4 linked regions of the Caenorhabditis elegans genome follow. The protein of the gene in region 1 purifies or fractionates together with the protein of each later gene. This does not show direct contact. Each region holds a gene or a part of one and is shown on either strand. Other genes may lie near its edges.

Region 1 (6,628 bases):
TACACAATATAGTCGACTGTTCCTCAACCAAATCAAATTACGTGTTGTCGATACAAAACGTCACTTTTTTGGTGACTTTCAGAATTGGAGCATTTGAGAGCAACTTCCTGCTAACACAGGTGTTTTGTCGTTAAAAAACTCATTGTCTCCAATTTTTAGATGAATTTTGCAAATCGCAAATTTCGCTGTGGCGACACCAACATTATAGAATTATTATCCTAACTGCGGCTCTCGTCTTGGTGGTCGCAATTTGCTAAACTTTTGCAATTTTGCTAGCATTTCTTTATATAGCTGGTGTTGTCTAATTTCTCATTTTTTCAGCTCCCAGTTTATGATTGACTACAGTTCTACACGTTATAAAATACATTTTCCTTAAAAAGAGTCCAACTATCTTATCTAAAAGAGTCCAACTATCTAAAAACATTAATTTTAAATTTTTGACAAATTTGAATAAGTCAAAAAAATGTAAAAATACATGTTTGCATTTTTTTCGACATCATATAAAAATTTAAATGTAGAACGAAGAGCAAAAAAAAATTTTTTTTGATTGTGAAATTTATTCTGGGCAATGTTCAAAATAAAAACAACTAGATAAATTTGCACAACTGATAGCATGAAGAAAATAATTGCAAAAAAAATCATAAAGAGAAAGAGAGACTGGGGTGAAACGAATGGGAAAATTGGGGAAAAAAGGTAAGGTAAAAGTGTCGAAAACTAGAAGATTCGGGTAGATCGAGGCGCAAAAAGCGGCAGCCACGAACTCTCATGGCATTGTAGATCGGAGCGATTGGTGGAGGAGCATAGGAATGAATGGTAAAAGCCAATTGGAATGAAGAAATTGAAGAAAAAACGCCTTTTAAACAAAGGAAGCATTTTAGAAATGAGAACAGAGTGACATACAGAAAAATAATGAAAAAAACTACAAAAAGATACTGTACTTTCCATTGAAAAAAGTGTTGGTATTACCCCGTAATTCGGCACACGGATGATATCTTTAGAATATTATCAGTGCTCAAACAGTGAAAAATATTTGAAATTAAATGCAAAACAAAGAGATTAAACAACAGCGGTGATCGCTTCTTCCATATCTGCATCTAATTTGAACATTTTCTCAGTAATCGTAGGCACCGCATTTTGAACTGGAGTGACGAGCCGTGTGTCATGATCTGGTCCCATTTCGTAACTAAACGTCCTGTATCCTTCTAATGGTTCCGAGCAGCTTGAGAATCTAAAAATAAAACATTTGAAAGTAGTTGTTGAACAGGAAGTTTCTAATTAGTTTCGTGTCGTTCCTTTCTTAATCTTTAGAATAAAACGAATTGGATACTGGCAAAAACTTTTAAGAATGAGAGAAAATACATTTCAAGACAAAAGAATATGGCTAATAATGAATACTTCTAGGAAGGAGACCACATTTAATATCAAATAATTTATAAAAGTTTAGATATAGTCGTACTTACCTGATATTATGCTTTGGTGGAATATAGAAGATATCTCCTCTTTTAACTTCATACTGTCCAATCAGCTGATTGTCAATTGTCGCCTCTTCTAGTGTACCTTTTCCGCTGACAACTACAAAGATGGATGCGCAATCAAGAGTTGGAATCATCATTTCTTCAACAGTCTGATGTGTTCCTACTCGTATTCTATGAAGTTGGAAATCTTTACAATCTGGTGCATACATATCAACACATTCAGTCAACTTGTTCTCTGGCACCAAATAATCTTTTTGCTCTGTCATCTTGTAGTTAAGAACACTGCAAAGAGCATCTCTGTCAATGTATTTTGGAGTCATGGCGGCCCGAATCGTATTGTTTGAACATCCCACGCATTCAACACATTCACCACTGAGATAGGCATGAAGTTCTTCAGCAGCATAATAACAACATTGTCCTGGTTCGAGAATCATGTGATTGAGGAAAAGTGGGGAGAAGATTCCAATATCATTTGGAAAATCAACCGACATTTTTCGAATCACTCCTACTGTTACTTCTTCAACTGCACCACGAAGCCCATTGTCAAGTTCGGAAAGAAGCTTTGCAATCAGGTCCTGGAAATTTAAAGTTTAAGTTAGAAAATGAAATACAAAACTTTGAAAGGATTTGCAAACAGGTTGCCAAAGTGTTTTGAAAGTTTATATCAAAATCAAGCAGTATTTAAATTTATTAATACGCAAACATTATAAAAAAAAATTGCTTCACAATTTGCTTGCCAGTTTGGTTGGTGTAGCACTGATAACTTAATTAGTTATCTAGTTTGTAATCATTTAAAAATCCTTATGTATCGTTTTTCCCTCACGCGAAAACATTGAAAATACCGAATAAAATAGATTTTAAAAAAAACAAAACAGAAATCGTGGTTTTCAAAAATGGGGTTTAGTAATTAAGAATCATTGAAATTTAAATAGGATGCTCGAAAAACGTTAATTGCGATTTTCGATTCAAACATAAAAATTGTTTGAATTTAAAATATTAAATCATTAAAAAAACACCCACATGAACATCATTTCTTTCTGGAACCATCATAAATCTAAAGCAGTCCTCCAAATATTTTCTCGAGTCTTTAAATTCTGTAGATTTCTGGTCAACTGAGTTCAGATCCTTCATTTGTTGAATGCAATCTTCGAGTGGTTTAGCATACGTGTCTCCTCCGAAAAGTAACCGGAATGATGGGAAGGCTGGAATAACCAATATGTGACTAGATAATTGAGTTTCTCGGGTTCTTCTTCTTACTTAATTGTTATGTTTGAAAACGCAAATCTTGTTCAGATGTTGAAAAGGCATTGTAAAGGCTGAACAAGGCTTTTTTCGGGTCTATCACAAATGTTGGCCGAGCTGATATAATATTTTACCCAAATTCCAAACAACTCAGGAAAAGATTGAGAAAAACATTAGAAAAAATTGGACTAGCGTTTGCCAGCGCGGCTTGGAACAAATTTTTGCCCAAACACTGCCAACTTTTGATCCAAGTTTATACTTTTTTTTAAACTTTAACAAGACGTTGAAACTAAAACCTTAGTGTGTTCAACTTACTCTGAAGGTTCTGCAAAATCTCTCTAGCTGGCCGGAATCCGCAAAGAAGTTCGAAACGGGTAAGTGCGTAGGCCAGCTCTGGTTTGTGATTCCTATCAGGATAGTGAATAGGGTCTTTCTCATGCAATCGGCGAGCTTGTTCCTATAAAAACTCTCGTGGTAACCAACTGCTATAATTCATTACATACTTTGGTTGGATGAACTTGTAGTGACAAGGTGGTTCTGATCGACATCACCTTCATGATAAATGGCAAATGAATGTTCTTTGCCGAATTGTTGTTTGTCAATGGAGATGGGTTCTTTGCCAAGTACGTCGACAGTTTGGTGGAGCATTTCTTGAGCTGAGCTGGTCCATCGGGGTGGGTTCCCATCCATAGCTACAAAACGTTAAATTACTAGGCTACGAATCATGGTTTCTCTGTCTGATCACTGTGTTCAAGAACAACATCGGTTCAAAAAACCATCACCAATCAGGTTTTCCAAACACTTCTTTATCTACAGAAGATTCGGTTTTGTCACTTTTTCCTGCAGCAGAGATCAACAGAGATTAAAAAAGTTTGCACTTTTTTAAATGGTTCAGACCAATGATTATCGGCTCCAATAAAATAACTGTATTCAAAAAAGAATGTAAAGCTTTTCAGAGGTATGTATATACATATTTACCATGAACCCTCCCTAGGTATTTATTTTAAATTGTTCCTATGTGAGCATATAGTTTACCTGTGTCATATTCCCAGGTAACATTTCATATAAATTTCAATTTTCTAGCCAATATTGGGTTTAGTAAAGTATTAAGAAATATGGATTAATGAATGAATATAAGGAAACACGGAGTGAGGCAAAGGGAATACCAGGAAATAGGATTGAGTGAAGTCAGAATAAAATTAAATTTACATCGGGGACTCAAACCCCAAGAACATAGTTTCGCATGATATTTGATATTCAATTATTTGATAAGATGGGTGAAATAACACAAAAATCGCAGCCTTTCTCCCACGGGACCTACAAGGCGGTGGAGTGGAAACTTACCAAAATGTATGAAGATGTGAGCTATTTTTTAATCTGGCACTTACATACGATTTCCTAGTTTTTACGAATTGTTATAGTAATGAATAAATAATGCTTATTGTCAAAGTGTATTTTGAACTCTGTTCAGGAAAACGATTCCGATTCGATATTGTTTTATTCTTGAATTCTATTCAAATTACTTTTTTAAGATTGAAAACTATACGAACTATTTATTGTTCGTTTATGTTTGAATCAATCTCCTATTCCAGTTTTCCATCTGACACAAAATACTTTTTTCTTATTCCGTTTTTATTCAGAATTTTCGGAGATTTTCTAGCTGCCACTTTGGCAAGATATCTAGATCAGGCCAATGTAATGAATGTTGCTGGAAATTAATGACGTGACCAGGAATTAGCCATAGAACAATGAGGGTGCAAGATATATAGGAAAAAGTGTTTTTTTTAATTAAAAATACTTACCTCAGCATATGGTGTCTTCTGATCAATTTGGAAACTTTCATGACCGTCTGCAAATAGTCTCGCCACCTCGCTCTCCTCACCATATTTTCCCCACGCATACTGTTTGACGTGGCATTTGAGTTGTTCCATTTGTGTTGTCAACGTGGCGCAGAACCCAAGATCCTGGAATTCGGTTGGAAGAGTTGTGGACGGCGCACGAAGACTAATGAAAGTATCGAGTAGATCAAAACTAGGCGATAAAAGGAGGATGACACGCTGTGCCACTAGTACTGCAAAGGAGAGGATGTTGGGGTGAAAACGGACGGGGCGAAGTGGGTCAGCGAAGCGGAGATAGATGATAGGTAGCACTTGCAACGAACGATACACAGAAATCGATGATGAAGGGGGGTGACGATGAAGCTGTGAATTTAAAGAATTGTTGGAATTTCTGAATGAGAAGAGAGATATAGAGAGTGAGAAAGAAAAAGAAGGGTAGAAGAAATTTAAGAAAAGTATGAAAAAAGATGATCAAGGGGTGGATCGAAGTGGGTGGAGAAAATGAACACTTTCAGGCTGGACATGCCTATTGGCCTTCAAAAACCTAGAATGAAAACGGTTTTGATTCGCAACAAAGATATGATGAAAAAGGTATCACATGAGAAATAAGAAAAGTGCATTTGTATCATCTCGGCGAATGCAAAAATGGGTGCGGTAAGAAAATGGGGTTACTGATGTTTCACCTATCTTTGGCTCGATTCTCTCAAATCTTGTTAATGATGTTCTCTTAAAGTCTTGTCTCGATTACTTTTCCTAATCATCGTCACCTTCTCGAGAGTCTTTTGTCTTTTCAAACAATATCTGGTTGGAAAAGGGGCGTCCAATTCATATCGGGTCGATCGGGGGTAAACCAGTTCGTTCGCCCCCTTTCTCTCACTCTCTGCAGTCCGAAAAAGTGTGTAATAGTGCATGAAGACAACAAAAAGAAGTGAAAAAAAGTGGGGACCAGCATCGTTGTTGCCGTCGACGATACATTTTTGTGAAAAAGAGAAGGTAGCGACTTTTGCGGAGTGGACGCTAAGAGTCGAGAAGGAGAGACAAATTGATGCATCGAGCGCCTCCCGTCTCTTCACTGATGACGAAGTACTGTATTGGTTCTCGCTATCTATACACAGACCCCCTCTGATTTTTATCAAAACGGACGTCGTCTCCCGTCTCTTCTCTTCGTCCGCGTCGGTCCCGGCAAGGTCATCAAGAAAACGGGCATTTCATATTCCCGAAGCTCCACCCATCCCAACAGACACACTTATCCTTCTCGGTCGGCTGATCCCAACCGCTAAGGAAACGAAAGGGATCTAGGTGTTGTATAAGTATTAAGTGCACGTTGACCTACTAAGAAGTTACCAGCCTGGTTATTTGTTCTAAAAATTTAGAATCGCAAACAATCTAGGCAAGGAAACAGGGGGTTTTTTTGACAAAATATCAAGATAGGCATGCCATCGGATACATACTCTAATTTTTCTAGGTAGAAAGTCTTTAAAAAACCTATTGTGTTTTTTTCAGGTGTTTGGCGCCAAATTCGTGTTCAACTTTCCCCAAAAGATTTTTTGGGTTCAGAAGCTTGGGAAAATCTTAAGCAAGACTTTGGCTATGGTTTATGCCGAGCAGAAGCTCAGTCCGATTTTGATCTAGCCAGTTTTCATTAAAACTCGTATGTTGTCGTTTCGAGCTTGGGTAGAAAATTGAAAAGTGTTGGATCAGGAAAAAAAAAATGCAAATTTCAGAAAATGTAGCGCTGAAAACTAGACCTTAGAAATACCAATTCGAATTTCTTAAATTTTGAAGTGACGTCAATTCGTCACTCATGACATGGACACATTGGACGAAGAGTGAAACACAAACAAAAAAGAAGCGAAAAGGATAGAAAAAGGATGGTAACCAACAAATTACAACGACTTCGTCACGATCAACAAACTTAAATTCTGCTGCAGTCAATATTAACCTGTAAAAGCAAAGTTCAGATGCCCTCTCTCACATCAAAAAATGGGAAAAGATACCCAAAACATATTGATCTCTCCGAAAGATCTTCAAAGAAAACACAAAGTTATCATGATAAGAATCTTTTGCGTATTT
Region 2 (4,847 bases), on another chromosome or scaffold:
CAATTTTTCCAAATTTTCAGGAAGTGCTGGAGCTGTTCAACTCGATCGAACGTGCCAATCCTCGACTCTACAAGACCCTGCAACAAATTCCCGGCCAATCCCGTTCGACACGTAACGCTCAACACGAGAATCGCTCTCTGCCGGATATTGAGCAAGATTTGGACGTTTACACGTCTGCCGAGCAGCTTCACGAGCATTTGAGCCAATTCTTCCGTCATGCACGTGGATACATTGAGACTCATAACCCAAGAAAGTTGGATGATCTTGATGAGCTCATTTCTGAACTCAATTTTATGTGATTTATTTCGGAATACACTGAAAAATCTTCTTTTTTTTTTGAAAGTGTATCATTTTTATTGTGAAAAGTGTCCTAAAATGCAGTTGAAATGTTGAAAAATCGGTTTTTTAAATTAAAAATTTAAATTTTCGGAATTTTTTCCCAAAAAAATTGAATATTTTAAATTTTCCGATTTTTTTTCCAAAAAATTCGAATTTTTCAAATAAAAATTTCCAAAAATATGAATTTAATTTTTTTTTTGAAAAAATTCGAAATTTTTCGACTTTTATTTGCAAATTTGGAGATTTTTCCAGTTTTCGCAGAATTTTTTGATATTTTTTCTACATTTTTTACTTTTTTCCCTATTTTCTCACTATTTAATCCCAAAAAAAACTATCAATTTCTTATTTTTCTCACTTTTTCACAGATTCTCCAAATTTTCCTGTCCCTTTAAGATTTTTTTTCACCCCCCGGCAACGAGTTTTGGCATTTTTTTGAAATTTTTCATCATGGCATTCGATCATTTTATCTAATTTATTGTAATTTTTTGGGTGAGAACCCCCTCATTTTTCGATTGTAAAACGTTGAAATAAAGTTGGCACACGTAATAATGAAGTTACAGTAATCCAGCGGTGGGTCTCGAGTGGAAAACTTGGAAATTTTGAAATTTCCGGTTATTTTTTGCTGGAAATTGTAGGTTTTCAATGGAAAGAATTCAATTTGAAGTGAATTTCACAAAGAATTCGAAAACATGGAAAATACACAAATTCCGGAAATTTTCTGGGTCTCGAGTGTAAAACTTCAAAAATTTGAATTTCCAGGTTAATTTCGCTGATAAAGACAACTTTTCTGGTGAGAAACTCGCGACTTAGGATGAAAATTGTGGTAAATATTCAACAATTTTGGAATTTTTTGGGTCTCGAGTGGAAAATACAAAAATAATTAGATTTTTCGATTATTTTATTCTAAACATTGTGTTATAATCGTTTAAACAAACCATTTGCTTAATTTTAACGACAATTTTCGTTAAAAATATCTAAATTAAGCTTGAAAACATTTTTTTTTAACAGAAAAAACATTTGCGCGTCAATTAAAGTGTATTGTATGCAATGCGTACTTTTTCGCTTACCGTAGTTAGCACATATTTAAATAGACATTCAATTTGAATTATTCGTGAAATTCATTTGTTTGGTATAATCTATCTGATTTCAAATCTTGCTTAAACTTTCGGATTCGGCTGAAAATCCCCCGAAAATCCCCTGAAAATCGGTTAAAACCAAAACAATGCAAGTGCGCTCCATCGCACCACCGAGAGAGCACGCATTCCGTGGAGTGCGCGAGATGACGAGAGAGACGGAACCGGTTTCTTTGTTCGTTTTTGCCGATTTTGCGCCGTTTTTCATGAATTTTCCAGTTTTTTTCGCTGAAAATCAGCTAATTTATCGATTTTCTCACCATTTTTACCCTAAAAATCTTGAAAATCCACCTAAAAAGCACAGAAAACCTGGAATCTTGAAAATTTTCAGAATGGAGCCGGATATTGAGCCATGGGACCGGTTTCGCGACTGGCTTCACTGCATTTGTGTGGTCACGTTTGATTTGGAGCTTGGACAGGCGTTGGAAGTGAGGATTTGCAGAAAAACTGAAAAAAAAATGCAGAAAAATCAAAAAATCCCGGATTTTCTGACTTTTCGCTGCGAGACCCGGAAATTTTCGCATTTTTTAAAATGATTAATGTGATTATACTCAAATCAAAGCTCTCGACGAGCTGAGCACGATTTTGACAAAAAAAAAATCTGGTTTTTTCAGGTAATCTACCCAGGAGACGCAATTCTATCGAACACTGAAAAAATCAATATCTGCTATTTGGCATTTCCAGACTCGAATTCCAGTAATGCACGAGACACAAATTTTCATTTCAGGATACGCAGGTGATTTTTTGAGATTAAAAATTTCGGAAAAAAATATTTTTTTTTCAAATTTTGAGAAAAAATTTTTTTGGCTGAAATCTGAAAATTTGCGAGTGATTTCCGTGTTCAGCTCACCGAGAGCTTTGATTTAAGTATAATTATGACCTACTTTGCTGAATTTTGAAGAAAATTGGGTTTTCGTGGCGGGACCCAACTTTTTTCAAATTTCAGCAAACTAGGTCATGTTTATACTCATTTTGAAGCTTTAAGTGAGCTGAATTCAATGCAAATACTCAAAATTAAAAATTTTCAGAGCAATCAGTGACGTCAGAGACTGCCAAAAGTCGTTTGTCGACAAATCTCCGACGTCTCTACCCTTTGATACACACTATTTATACGGTTTTGTGCATTTTCGGCAATGCAAAGACCCGACAATTCATCGAGGATATTATCAGAAGGTTCATAACCGGAACGCAATAAAATTGGCGAAAATTTGAGTGAAAATTCGAGTTTTTCCCCGCTAAAATTCACTTTTTTCCGGAAAAATGGAACAATTTTTAGTATTTTCCCCTTTTTTTTGGAAAAAACGGAATTTTTTAAATGTTCGTCTTTTGCCAAAAAAAGGGTAAAACTATGGATTGTCGGCTTTTTTTCCAGAAAAATGGAAAATTTTAGGCTTTTCAATTTTTTAAAAAGGAAATTCGACAAATTGTCACAATTTTATGACCTTTCCCAGAAAAATTGGAATTATTAAGCTTTTAAGACGTTTTTTTCAGTTTTACTGGCATTTTCTTATTAATCTAGATGAGAGCTTCAATTTAAGTATAAATATGGCGTATTTTACGCAAATTTTAAACAAAATTGGGTCTCGTCACAAAATTCTACAGTAACCCACAGGTTTTCGTGGTGGGACCCAATTTTTTCAGACTTTGCGCAAAGTAGGTCAAAGTTATACGGTAACTCGAAAACAATATTGTCTGTGACTTGTGTGTTTTTCTATCCGAATTGATGGTTTGAATAGTGGTATTCTCGGCTGAAATATGCAATAAATACCGTTTTCCAACCAACAATTCGGTGCAATAGAGCACATTTGTCACCGGGGATGCGGAAGCTATGCCCAAATTTTCATTTAGCGCGGAAATTTGGCTGTTTTCGGGTGTAAAGTAGAAAATTTGGAAATTTCGACATTAAAATTTATTATAAAATTTGAAAAAAAAACCCATAAAAACCCTTTTTTCTGACAATTTTCTGTTTTTTTTAAATCCCAGTTTCCGAGGAAAGCTATAAATTTGGGTACGGTAACTCGGAATTTATGATGTTTTTTTTTTAAGCTGTAAAAACTGAAAAATTCTGCTCAATTTCCAATTTTTTGTTGAAAACCTAGTGGTTTCTTGGATTGTTCTAATTTTTAATCAAAATCCTGCTGAAAATTAGAATTTTTAGCTTTTCCGCTTGTTTTTCGGAATTTTTTGTGGCTTTTTCCAGGTAAAAAATCCGTTTTTTACGGAAAAAACGGCAAATTTTTGAATTTTTCGATGTTTTTCCCATGAAAATCAAAAAATTTGTATTTTTTGTTTTTTTTATAGGAAATTCGAATAGTTTTTTTTTTCGTGGCGAGACCCAACTTTTTCAGACTTTGCGCAAAGTAGGTCAAAATTGAACGGCAACTGAACTGAATTTCCCTATATATTGTCTGTGACTTGTGTGTTTCTCTATCCGAATTGATGGTTTGAATAGTGGTATTCTCGGCTGAAATATGCAATAAATACCGTATTCCAACCAACAATTTGTGCAATAGAGCACATTTGTCACTAGAGATGCGGAAGCTATGCCCAAATTTTCCATTTCTCAGCCTGAAAACTTGGCTGAAAATCCATTCCTTTTTTTTTTTAGCTAATTTTCTATTTCCAGAGCATCGTCCTAATGTCAGTGCTCCCACTGTTTTCCTTGTTCTACTCAGTTACCGCCCGCATCGCTGAGCATTTTTTTGAAAGTGGAGAAGCAGCAATTGAAGCAGGTAGCCGCCACCTGAAATTGGAAAAAAAAACTAAAATTTTCTGAAATTTTCCAGCCTGCCATCACATTGACACGTGGCAACAGCCGCACGCTGGTCGGACTATTGAGTTACCGTTGCTCGGTACTTTAATCAGTTGCCGCCTACCGGCCGCCTGTGATCTACCATATGAATTCCGGCTTGATGGACATGTTGAGGTAGCTAAAATTGGAAAAAATTGGAAAAAAAAAACTCGAAAAATTGAACATTTTTGGTCTGAAAAAATGTCCGGAATCTATCAGAAAATTGAAATAAATAGAGAATTGTGAAATTTTTAGCCGAAAAATTCTTATTTCTAGATATTTTTTGAAGAATATTCCAATGATGTTCCAGAATCTTTGAATTTTTTTTTAAATTTAAGAAAATCACAAAAATTTCAGAATTTTAATTCTATAAGTTTTCGAAAAAGAAAATTTCTTCAAAAAATCAGAAAATATGCTGAAAATTAACGAAAAATTGGAGATAATTTATTACAAAAATTTTCAGAAATTAAAAAAACAAAACTGAAAAATCTAAAATATTATCCAAAAAGAAGTGTATTATAAATTCACTAAAAATCTCAAAAAATCCAAAATTTATCAGAAAATTTAGAGAAATTCACTAGAAA
Region 3 (4,998 bases), on another chromosome or scaffold:
AACGGGAGGGGGCACTATGCATTAATTATACTTACGAAGGTCGCAGACTTTTATCTTCGTTTGTTTTCGATTTTGCATACTTTTGTGTGTTTATTGATTTTTTTTTTCGTGTGAAATTTGAAATCTTTTATTGTCGGCGGAGCGAATTTGCATTAATGTTTTTGTTAAATTAGGTAAGAAGAAGACATTTTATATTAAAAATTTATAAAAGCTATCGATTTTCTATAATATTGGTGTAACATTTTAGGGTGTTTTAGCGGAAAGCCAAAAATTTCTGAATTTTCTTTTTAATTGTTGACTTTTTCAAACATTATTTGTATTTTACATACCAATTTTGTTTAAGAATTTAAAAAAAAAATAATAATTCAAATATGACGAAAAAACATTATCCGGACGTTAAGTTTGCTATTTTTGAGAAAAAAACAATAAACGACAAATTTTCTCAAATTCGGAAAACTATGCGTCTTTACAGAGTACTATAATTTTACCCTAAATAAATTCTGCAGTGTTTTTTTCTATTTAATTTACATAGATTTCTCACATTTTTTTCAAAAAAATAAATAAGTGCACAAAACTGAAAATTGATGAAAATTCCAAAAAGATAAATTACAGTACTCTTTAAAGACGCACACTTTTTGGCATTTAACTAACATTAGTCGTATCGAGGCCGGGTATCACATTTTTGGCGGAAAATTGCAAAATTAATTAAAATTTTGCAATTTTGCGTCTGAGTAATATATTTACAAGATGGTGGAGTTGTTTAATACTTGAGTTTTTCTAAATTCAAAAATTTCAGAGATTTTTGTGAAACTTTTTTTCTATTTTTTGGGTTAAGGCAATTTTCTATTTTCTATGTTTCAGTTTTCCGGTGTACCCCTCCACCTTATTCCTAGTGACCTTACTTGTCTCGGGTCCTTCATTACCTTCCCTTTTCGTCTTCTAAACGCATCTCACAAAAGTTAAGTGTTGACTCATTTCTCTCCCTCAAAAACCTTACATGTTCCTTTTTCGGAATGCCTCACACAACAAACCAGCGATGCATTTCCGAACACACATATGTCCACCCATAAAAGTGCGATAAGTAGATTTTGACTGTATATTCCCTGCAGGTGGTCTCTTTCTCTCTCTCTCTTCTTTCTGTCGGTTAGTACCAGAAGCCTGTCTCCCGTTTTGTCATATTCTTCTCTTTTCCTGATGCTTCTTCTCCACTACTACCACCTGTCTTCTTCTTCCCTTCCATTCCGTTCGTTTTCCTATTATCGTATTAGTATATACTAATATGCGTTTGACGTTGGAAACCTGAAGTAGATTCTCTCCGGAAGATAGATTACCACATTTTCACTAGTCGGTTGTTGGATTTATGAAGCTGTTAACACATACTTTTTATTAGCTGGACAGTTCAGGAATGGATTTGGCTTGGGCTTAGGCTTAGGTTTAAGCTTAGGCTTGGGTTTAGGCTTGGGTTTAGGCTTAGGCTTCGGCTTGAACTTAGGCTTAGGCTTAGACTTAGGCTTATGGTGAAGCTTAGGCTTAGGCTTAGGCTTAGGCTTACGCTTACGCTTAGGCTTACGCTTAGGCTTACGCTTAGGCTTACGCTTAGGCTTAGGCTTATCCTTAGGCTTAGGATTAGGCTTAAGCTTAGGCTTCGGCTTCGGCTTCGGCTTAGAGTTAGGCTTAGGCTAGGCTTAGACTTAGGCTTGTTCTCTAAATTTTTAATGTTTTTTTTGTTGCAAAGACTATAGTTTTTTAACAACTTCATGACGCATTTTATTTAAGCTTGTAAACTTCTAGGCTTATAGATTTTAATGTAAAATTTCGGGAATTGGAAATTTCGATATTGAATAAAAAAATTTCCAAACAACGTTTGCAACATTTTTCTTTAGAAAAAAAATTGTTTTTTTCTTTTTTATTTTCACATTGTCTTTTGTTCCTTAAGTTTTTATTCCAACTTTGCTAAAAGTATTTACAGTTAATTTTCAAAATTATCTGCAGAAATGGATTTCGATTTCGATTCGGAGCCAAAAACGCCTCCTCAACTACCCCCTGCTCCACCGATTCGGACAGTGTCGAATAACCCAAAAGTCACGTTTAAAGGCGCACAGACTTGGAGAGAATCTGTCGGAATGTTTTTGGTTATGGCACTGGCATTGGCAGTGGCGGTTAGTTTTTCAAATTTTCCCCAAAAAATTTAAGTTCAAAATCCGACCGCGGTCACACTTGGCCGGAATCCATCTGCTATCTTTAGTGAACCGGATATGAGAAAAAGTTTGTTTCGAAAAAGGAAAAAAAAGAAGATTATATGCACATGAATACTGCTTCACATTTTTGCAAAAAGAAATATGTTGTGTGCTTATTTTCAAACTTTTTTGGGATTGGAACTTTCCGGTACACTGAGCTTTAAACCGAATTATTAATAGGATTAAAATAAGCTGGGAAGGGGGTTCCGGGAAGATTATAAATTTTTTTTTTGGTTTAACTGGAAAAAGATTATTACTAATGAGATACTAGGTATACAAATAAATAAATAACAAAAATGCACGAAACCTTGTGAAAACTGCAAAACGAAATTTCGAAAAGACAAAATTGAAGAGTGAATTTTTGAAGCATGAGTCTACAGATATTAAGCCAAAGAGCTGAGCCTGAAAGACTCAACTTGAAGGCCTACATTTGAAGGCCTACGCCTGATAGCCTGGATGGGATGTGTCGAAAAGCCCTTGGGATTAAGTCGAAAGACTTAATCCCAAGGGCCTTGGCCTAGGGTCCTAAGCAAAAAAGCCCAAGCCTTAGCCTGAAGGTATAAGCCCAAACGTTTCGGATTCCCAAAATACTTCCTGACTCATAACTCAATTTTAGAACCAAATCTGACTGAATCACAAAATGTTTCGGGAACTCAAAAGAATCTATGACCTGATTACTCGGTTATTCTTAATAAACACCCTCTGCAGCTGTAAATACATTATGAATAGGTGCTAGTTAGATAGATCAAAAGTTTTTGTTAGATCAAAAAGTGAAGAGGAAGTCAGAAAAGTTGGGTTCGAATAGTGATATGGTCTATTAGAGAAATAATTGAATCTTTGAATCTGTGAGTCTGTGTCGGAAAAATATGTTAACTACAAACTAGGATTTTCTCCTTTTCGTAGTGAAAAATATAGTTTAGAAAAAGCTAGCTTAGTGGTAGTCCTAAACCTGAGACTCGGTTTAGGCCTACTCCTGAGCCTAGAACTAGGCATAAGCAGGTGTCTAAGCCTAAATACATATCTGAAGACCATACTTAGGTTAGAAGCTTAAGTGCCAGCTCTTGCAACCTTGAAATGCTTAACATCTACTAACCGAAGTTGTGAATCCTGATGGCCTAGCTCAAAGCCTAAACCTAGAGCTAGCCTTAAGCCTAGCCCTTAGTCCTAGGTTAATGCCTAGTCTTGGGCCTAAATCTAGTCCTAGGCCCAAACATGGCTATAGACCTAAACCTGACCATAAGCCTATGGCCAACGCATAAGTCTAGCCCTAGTCTAGCCAGTCCTGTTCCTAAAATTTCTGAAATCTGAAAAAATCTGAAACTTTTCGGTACTCTCGCTTCTTTGTTATGAATTTTTCATCTTGTTGTTCACTTTTAAGCATCTGAAATTATCTGAAAACCCTGAAAATCCCTAGAAAAAACAAGACACTTTTGATATATAAAAATGTAATTTATTACTTTTTTTGGAAGCTTTAATGTCAATTTTGGTTCAATATATACAAAGAAAGTAAGGGTTTCTAGAGTCTACAACAATTCAAAAAACAATGAAGAAAAAACAACAAAATAACATTTAAAAAACAAAACCGGAAAAAAATAGTAGTTCGAATGTGGAGAGACCCGTGAAGGCGGCTTGTGTAGATTTTTGTACAGATATTTAGAACAGTTAGGGCTCATAGAGGAGCTTTCCAAGAAGCTTAATAAAATGCAGATACACATCTGCGGAACCCACGTCGCTTCTCCTCGATAGTCCTCTGGATTGCAGCCTTGACTGCTGGGGAGCGGTGAGCATCGACGTTGGTGAGAATGTCTTGATTGATGTGGAACATTTTGTAGAGAATTTAGAAATTAGAGCAATTGAAGAATTTGAAAAACTCAAGAGATTAGAGTATTATCAGTGTGTTCTCTTGCTCTTGCTTATATAGGCACCCGTGTGCTCTGGTGATAATTGGCTCCGCCCCGCGTTATCCATCCAACCGAGCATGGTCATGAGGCGAGAGACGGGTGAACAAGAAGAAGTCAGAAGAAGATGAATAGAGAGGAGTCATAGGAGCTAATTAATCAGCAAGATTTTTTGGAGGGGAAAAGGGTACCACGAGGTTTCTCGAGCAAAGCTTGCTTGAGAAGGGGTACTGTAAGGGAGCAGAACTTTTGATGTTTCTAGAAATGGGAAAACGTTTTTTTGAAAAAAATCAAAGCTCAGCTTTGGATGAGGTGTATGCCAAAAGTCTTGAACCAAGCTTAAGCCTAATAGTAACCGTGAAGAAAGAAGCCTGAGACTAAATCTAAAGGCCCTAGTTTAAAGGCCTAAGTTTGAGCTTCAGCGTAAGCCTAAGACTAAGCCTAAGCCTCAACTCAAGCCTAAACATATGCCCAAGCCTAAGACTGAGCCTAAATCCCAAGCCTATGCATAATTCTAAGCCTAAGCCTAAACGTCAAGGGTTTGCCCAACGTTCTAAGCCCAAGAACTCGGCCTCATTTTCTTCCGAATTTGTAGTTTTTGATACCTTTTTTTCTGAATTCTCGTCAAACCTTCCAAAATTTCAAAGCCTACAATTTCCAAATTACTCTGTTTTGACCAACATAATTGCCGGCTGAAAGATCAAATTGAAACTTTTTATTCCAGAAAAAATCGGGTTTCCTGCAAAAGCCCGAGCCAATTTGTGCGCAGTTTTGCCCTATAATTTTCTCTAATTTCATGAGAATCTCGTTTACTTGAACTTTGAAAATTAATGGCTGGTGTTTGAAATTTTCATACCCCAGAA
Region 4 (4,063 bases), on another chromosome or scaffold:
ACGACATTCTTCTTGGCTAGAACATCGTAAAACACCCTTGGACGACTTGAGGTATTTCCAACAAAAGGAAGAGTTGTGGGCCTCCTTCTTGAAACGGCATCCTGACGAACTGGTTCAGAAAGATCTTTTGCGGTTTTTCTGACTCCAGTTCTAGGATTGGCTACGGTTTTGGTTTTGCATTTTGTACGAGCCATACCCTGAAAAACAAAAAAAATAATGTTTAGGGAACATTGTTACAAAAGGAGAAGAAGCAAATGAGATAAAGTTGGTAGACTACAGACAAGAAAATGCAAAGAATGATAACCCTAGAATTGGTAAGAATGAAGGGGTGTTATTGCGAAACATTACTGGCTGCGAGGGTTTCACAATGAATTTTCCGTTTTTTTTTTTTTTAATATTTCGCAATACTACATTGTAGATGACTAGAGGGAGGACCGCCCTTCTTCACATATCACAGAAACGACGAGAGGAATCGGAAGAGAGCGCGTGGCGATGAGAGAAGCTCGTGCATCAGCAGGTATTGCGAAATATCATCGCGGCACTACGATCAACACAAGTGTCAGAGAAGGAAACTACGGGGACCGAAACGAGAGATAGAGAATGAGTGGGTAGATGGTCGAATAGTGATAAAATCAAATGTCTCGAGAACTGTAAGACTGTTCACAAACGAGTTGTAACCGATTAGGGGAGCCATGGTTGGAAATTGAAGTCATAATTTGCAATTTGATTAGGCTATTAAGCATATTTAATATTATAGTATTTTACTCTGTTCTGAAGATGAATTTGAAGAGCAAAACAAGAAGCAGGAGGAAATAATTGTTTTTTCCATGTCTTAGGCATCTACGTATATGAAAAAGAAAAAGCATGATCTCTTTGGAACAAGGAAAAAGATAGCTGGCTCAACACCAATGACAGATGAATAAGGAGAAAAGCTAGAGCCCACACACACGTGCGCATTCACTCGTCATTTCACTCTTCTCTCTTTTTGTCTCTCTACGTGTTTTTTTCTTCATCTCCAATCCGTCTCCTACGCGGCACATAAGGCGAGAGTCAGACAGCACAGTACAGCGCACACCGAGAGCGAGACGTTAGAGACACGCAGTAGAGACCAGTTCCGTTGCAAGCGTCGCGGTCGATAGTACGCGACGCGTCGTTTCTCAGAGAAGACAGAGATAGAGGAATGGAGGGGCCCCCGTTTTTGTCCAGTGTCTCTTTCCTCGTGATATTCCATTGCGTAGCACTCCTCGTACAACTGCTCCTCTCTCTCTCTCCGACATTGCCTCTTTTAGCTTTCTGGAGGCCAATGGATTCTCTATTGCTTTTGGACGTGGCGTTCATCTTTCTCTATCCCAACTACTTCCACATTTGTCTCTCTCTCCCCGTCGGTTTTCCCCTACTTCCAACTAATGACAACTTGGCAGTCAGTCTCTAATAGCCACTTTCTTTTGTGTGGTCTATCTATTCTCATTGCTACTTTTTTGTATCCTTTTTTCTGAAACGAATAACCAAAATATAATCCGCAACTTTCAGGTAACAAAAACACATAAAAATGACGGCTGCTCCTTACAATTATTCGTATATTTTCAAATATATTATTATTGGTGATATGGGTGTCGGAAAATCGTGTCTTCTTCATCAGTTCACAGAAAAGAAGTGTAAGTCCCGCATTCCTGGAAAATCGATATATCATGTTGTTTGTGTCAACATTAGTCATCAACAAGAGACCTGTTCCTCCGGTCAATAACCACCGTACAATCACTGCGGGCAACAAACGCAAAAACTAACTATAACTAACTTTCAGTCATGGCCGACTGCCCGCACACAATCGGCGTGGAATTCGGCACCAGGATTATTGAGGTCAGCGGACAGAAGATCAAGCTTCAAATCTGGGACACGGCGGGCCAGGAGCGATTCCGCGCTGTGACGCGATCATATTATCGTGGAGCAGCCGGAGCCTTGATGGTCTACGACATCACTCGCCGTTCTACCTACAATCATTTGAGCAGCTGGTTGGCCGACGCAAAAAGCTTGACCAATCCAAATACGGTAGGTAAAATATATACTTGGTTTATAATTTTTACTCAAAAGTAGGGTTGAAAAATATATAAAAACTCGAATTTATACTTTATAAAAGCATTCCCAAGTTCCAAAATTAAAGCGAATTTGAACTTTCAGCAAAATTTCAAAACTACATAGATGTACGCCATGTTTAGTAAATTGCAATTTATGAATTTTTGCAAGCATAACATTTATTTGCAGCTCAAAAGATCGTAGACTATAAACTGAATTTCAATCAAAATTCTCATGAATCAGATTTAAGCTGGAAAACATTCAATCTGTATGTGCTCTAAATTGTGTGTTTTATCGTTAAACTAATATCTAAAAAAAACGAGTTAAAATTGGGTTATCTAGTTTTATTTGGAGAGTTAAAAATCTACCTGTATTAGTAAGAAAACAGTATTTCGTCCACTTTGCACTGATTTAATTTTACAATAAAAATGAGATTCAAGCACCAATTCTCACAAGTTCCTTTTTCAGGCCATCTTTCTTATCGGAAACAAAGCCGACCTCGAAGATCAACGTGACGTGCCATACGAGGAAGCAAAAGCTTTCGCCGAAGAAAACGGGCTCACTTTCTTGGAGTGCAGTGCGAAGACGTAAGTTTCTTCCCCCCACCCCCCCACTGCAAATTCATCAATTTCAAATGGCTTTTTTTTCAGTGGCAGTAACGTCGAAGACGCTTTCCTCGAAACGGCCAAGCAAATCTATCAGAATATCCAAGACGGAAGTTTGGACTTGAACGCCGCCGACACTGGCGTCCAGCCAAAACAGAACTTGCCACGTGCAGCTGAAAATAATGGGAAGAAGGACTGCAACTGCTAGTTGATGTGTGCAAAGTCCCTTCTTCCCCTCAAATCATTCCCAATTGATTTTAATGTATTTTTTTAAATTATTACTTTCTAATCCGTCTATCTGTATGTGAGAGCTTGTCACCCATTATCATTAAAATGCCAGAAGAATCAACATTGGGTGGTATGGTTTCTTGTTTCCAAATTCTAGTTGCCTGTCAAAATCTAAACTTGTAATCACTATAAAACTACTCTGAAATTCAGAACTTTGTGTCACTTTTACTTACCAATTCCCAGTCTTTTTCAGTCCCCCACCCATTACTCACTATCATCATCGAACTGTGAACCGTTCATAATATAACACTTTCGCTCACCCAACCAACTGCATATTTAGTAGATTTTTTCTGTCAAAAACCGTTTTGAACATTTTTCCCCCATTCCTTGTGTGATAAGAAACATCTATATGATCCCACCCCATTAAGTGCTATAATTGTGCTTTGAAAATCAAAAAAACTAACGATTTTTGTCATTTTTGTCACTTTTCCTTATAAATAGTTCTCTGTTGTTAGTTTTATGAACCTATGATTTCAGAAAACTTTTTCAAAATTTATTTTTTTTGTTTAATCATTTTTCAGCAAAATTCAATTGTACATATAATATTTAAAAAAACTATTCATTGAAGCATGAAGTGCTCAATCTTCAAAGTTAACATCACCAGTAATAGTCAAATGTGTTTTCAAGTGTGCGTAAATTTTTCTAATGACAGAGTAATCCGTGGCTGAAATGGGATTCTAGTCACGGGTGGGCAGCAAACGATTGTTTCCGGCAAATCGGCAAATCGGCAGATTGCAGGAATTGCAGATTTCCGGCAAATCGGCTAATCGGCAAATTGCCGATTCGCCAAATTTGCTGGAAAAAAAGAAACTTGCCAAAAAATTTCTGCAAATTGTGGTTTCGCACTTATTTTTTTGGAAATTTTAGAATTCCAATTTCAAATGACAAAATTTTACGCATCCTATGAATATTCCTACATCTATTTCGAAAAGTAAGCAAATTCTATGAAAATATGTAGACAAAACGGAAAAAATTCAAAAAAAAACGGTTTTAAGAGTTTCCGTTCTATAAAAAGTCCCTCTAAAAATTTCCGGGAAATCTGATATTCGGCAAACGGCAAATCGGCAACTTGCCGAAAATGAAAATTTCAGGCAAATCGG

The links.
Region 2: the proteins of C05C8.7 (region 1) and F53H1.3 fractionate together in Caenorhabditis elegans (co-fractionation; one large-scale study listed by BioGRID). This does not show direct contact.
Region 3: the proteins of C05C8.7 (region 1) and R03H10.2 fractionate together in Caenorhabditis elegans (co-fractionation; one large-scale study listed by BioGRID). This does not show direct contact.
Region 4: the proteins of C05C8.7 (region 1) and rab-14 fractionate together in Caenorhabditis elegans (co-fractionation; one large-scale study listed by BioGRID). This does not show direct contact.

The regions. Positions count from the first base shown.
Region 1 is NC_003283.11:7,242,370-7,248,997, forward strand, and holds C05C8.7 (mannose-6-phosphate isomerase), read right to left. Parts: upstream 4,682-6,628; 5' UTR 4,649-4,681; coding exon 4,520-4,648; intron 3,410-4,519; coding exon 3,221-3,409; intron 3,175-3,220; coding exon 3,033-3,174; intron 2,678-3,032; coding exon 2,496-2,677; intron 2,051-2,495; coding exon 1,461-2,050; intron 1,229-1,460; coding exon 1,057-1,228; 3' UTR 544-1,056; downstream 1-543.
Region 2 is NC_003282.8:1,327,359-1,332,205, forward strand, and holds the start of F53H1.3 (UDENN domain-containing protein), read left to right. Parts: upstream 1-1,803; 5' UTR 1,804-1,804; coding exon 1,805-1,900; intron 1,901-2,086; coding exon 2,087-2,208; intron 2,209-2,500; coding exon 2,501-2,645; intron 2,646-4,098; coding exon 4,099-4,204; intron 4,205-4,258; coding exon 4,259-4,398; intron 4,399-4,847. Other genes in the region: F53H1.4 (PHD-type domain-containing protein), read left to right, coding at 21-299.
Region 3 is NC_003280.10:4,153,781-4,158,778, forward strand, and holds the start of R03H10.2 (uncharacterized protein), read left to right. Parts: upstream 1-1,992; 5' UTR 1,993-1,994; coding exon 1,995-2,159; intron 2,160-4,998.
Region 4 is NC_003284.9:15,604,103-15,608,165, reverse strand, and holds rab-14 (Ras-related protein Rab-14), read left to right. Parts: upstream 1-1,530; 5' UTR 1,531-1,549; coding exon 1,550-1,655; intron 1,656-1,801; coding exon 1,802-2,046; intron 2,047-2,538; coding exon 2,539-2,657; intron 2,658-2,720; coding exon 2,721-2,883; 3' UTR 2,884-3,531; downstream 3,532-4,063. Other genes in the region: Protein nipi-3, read right to left, coding at 1-194.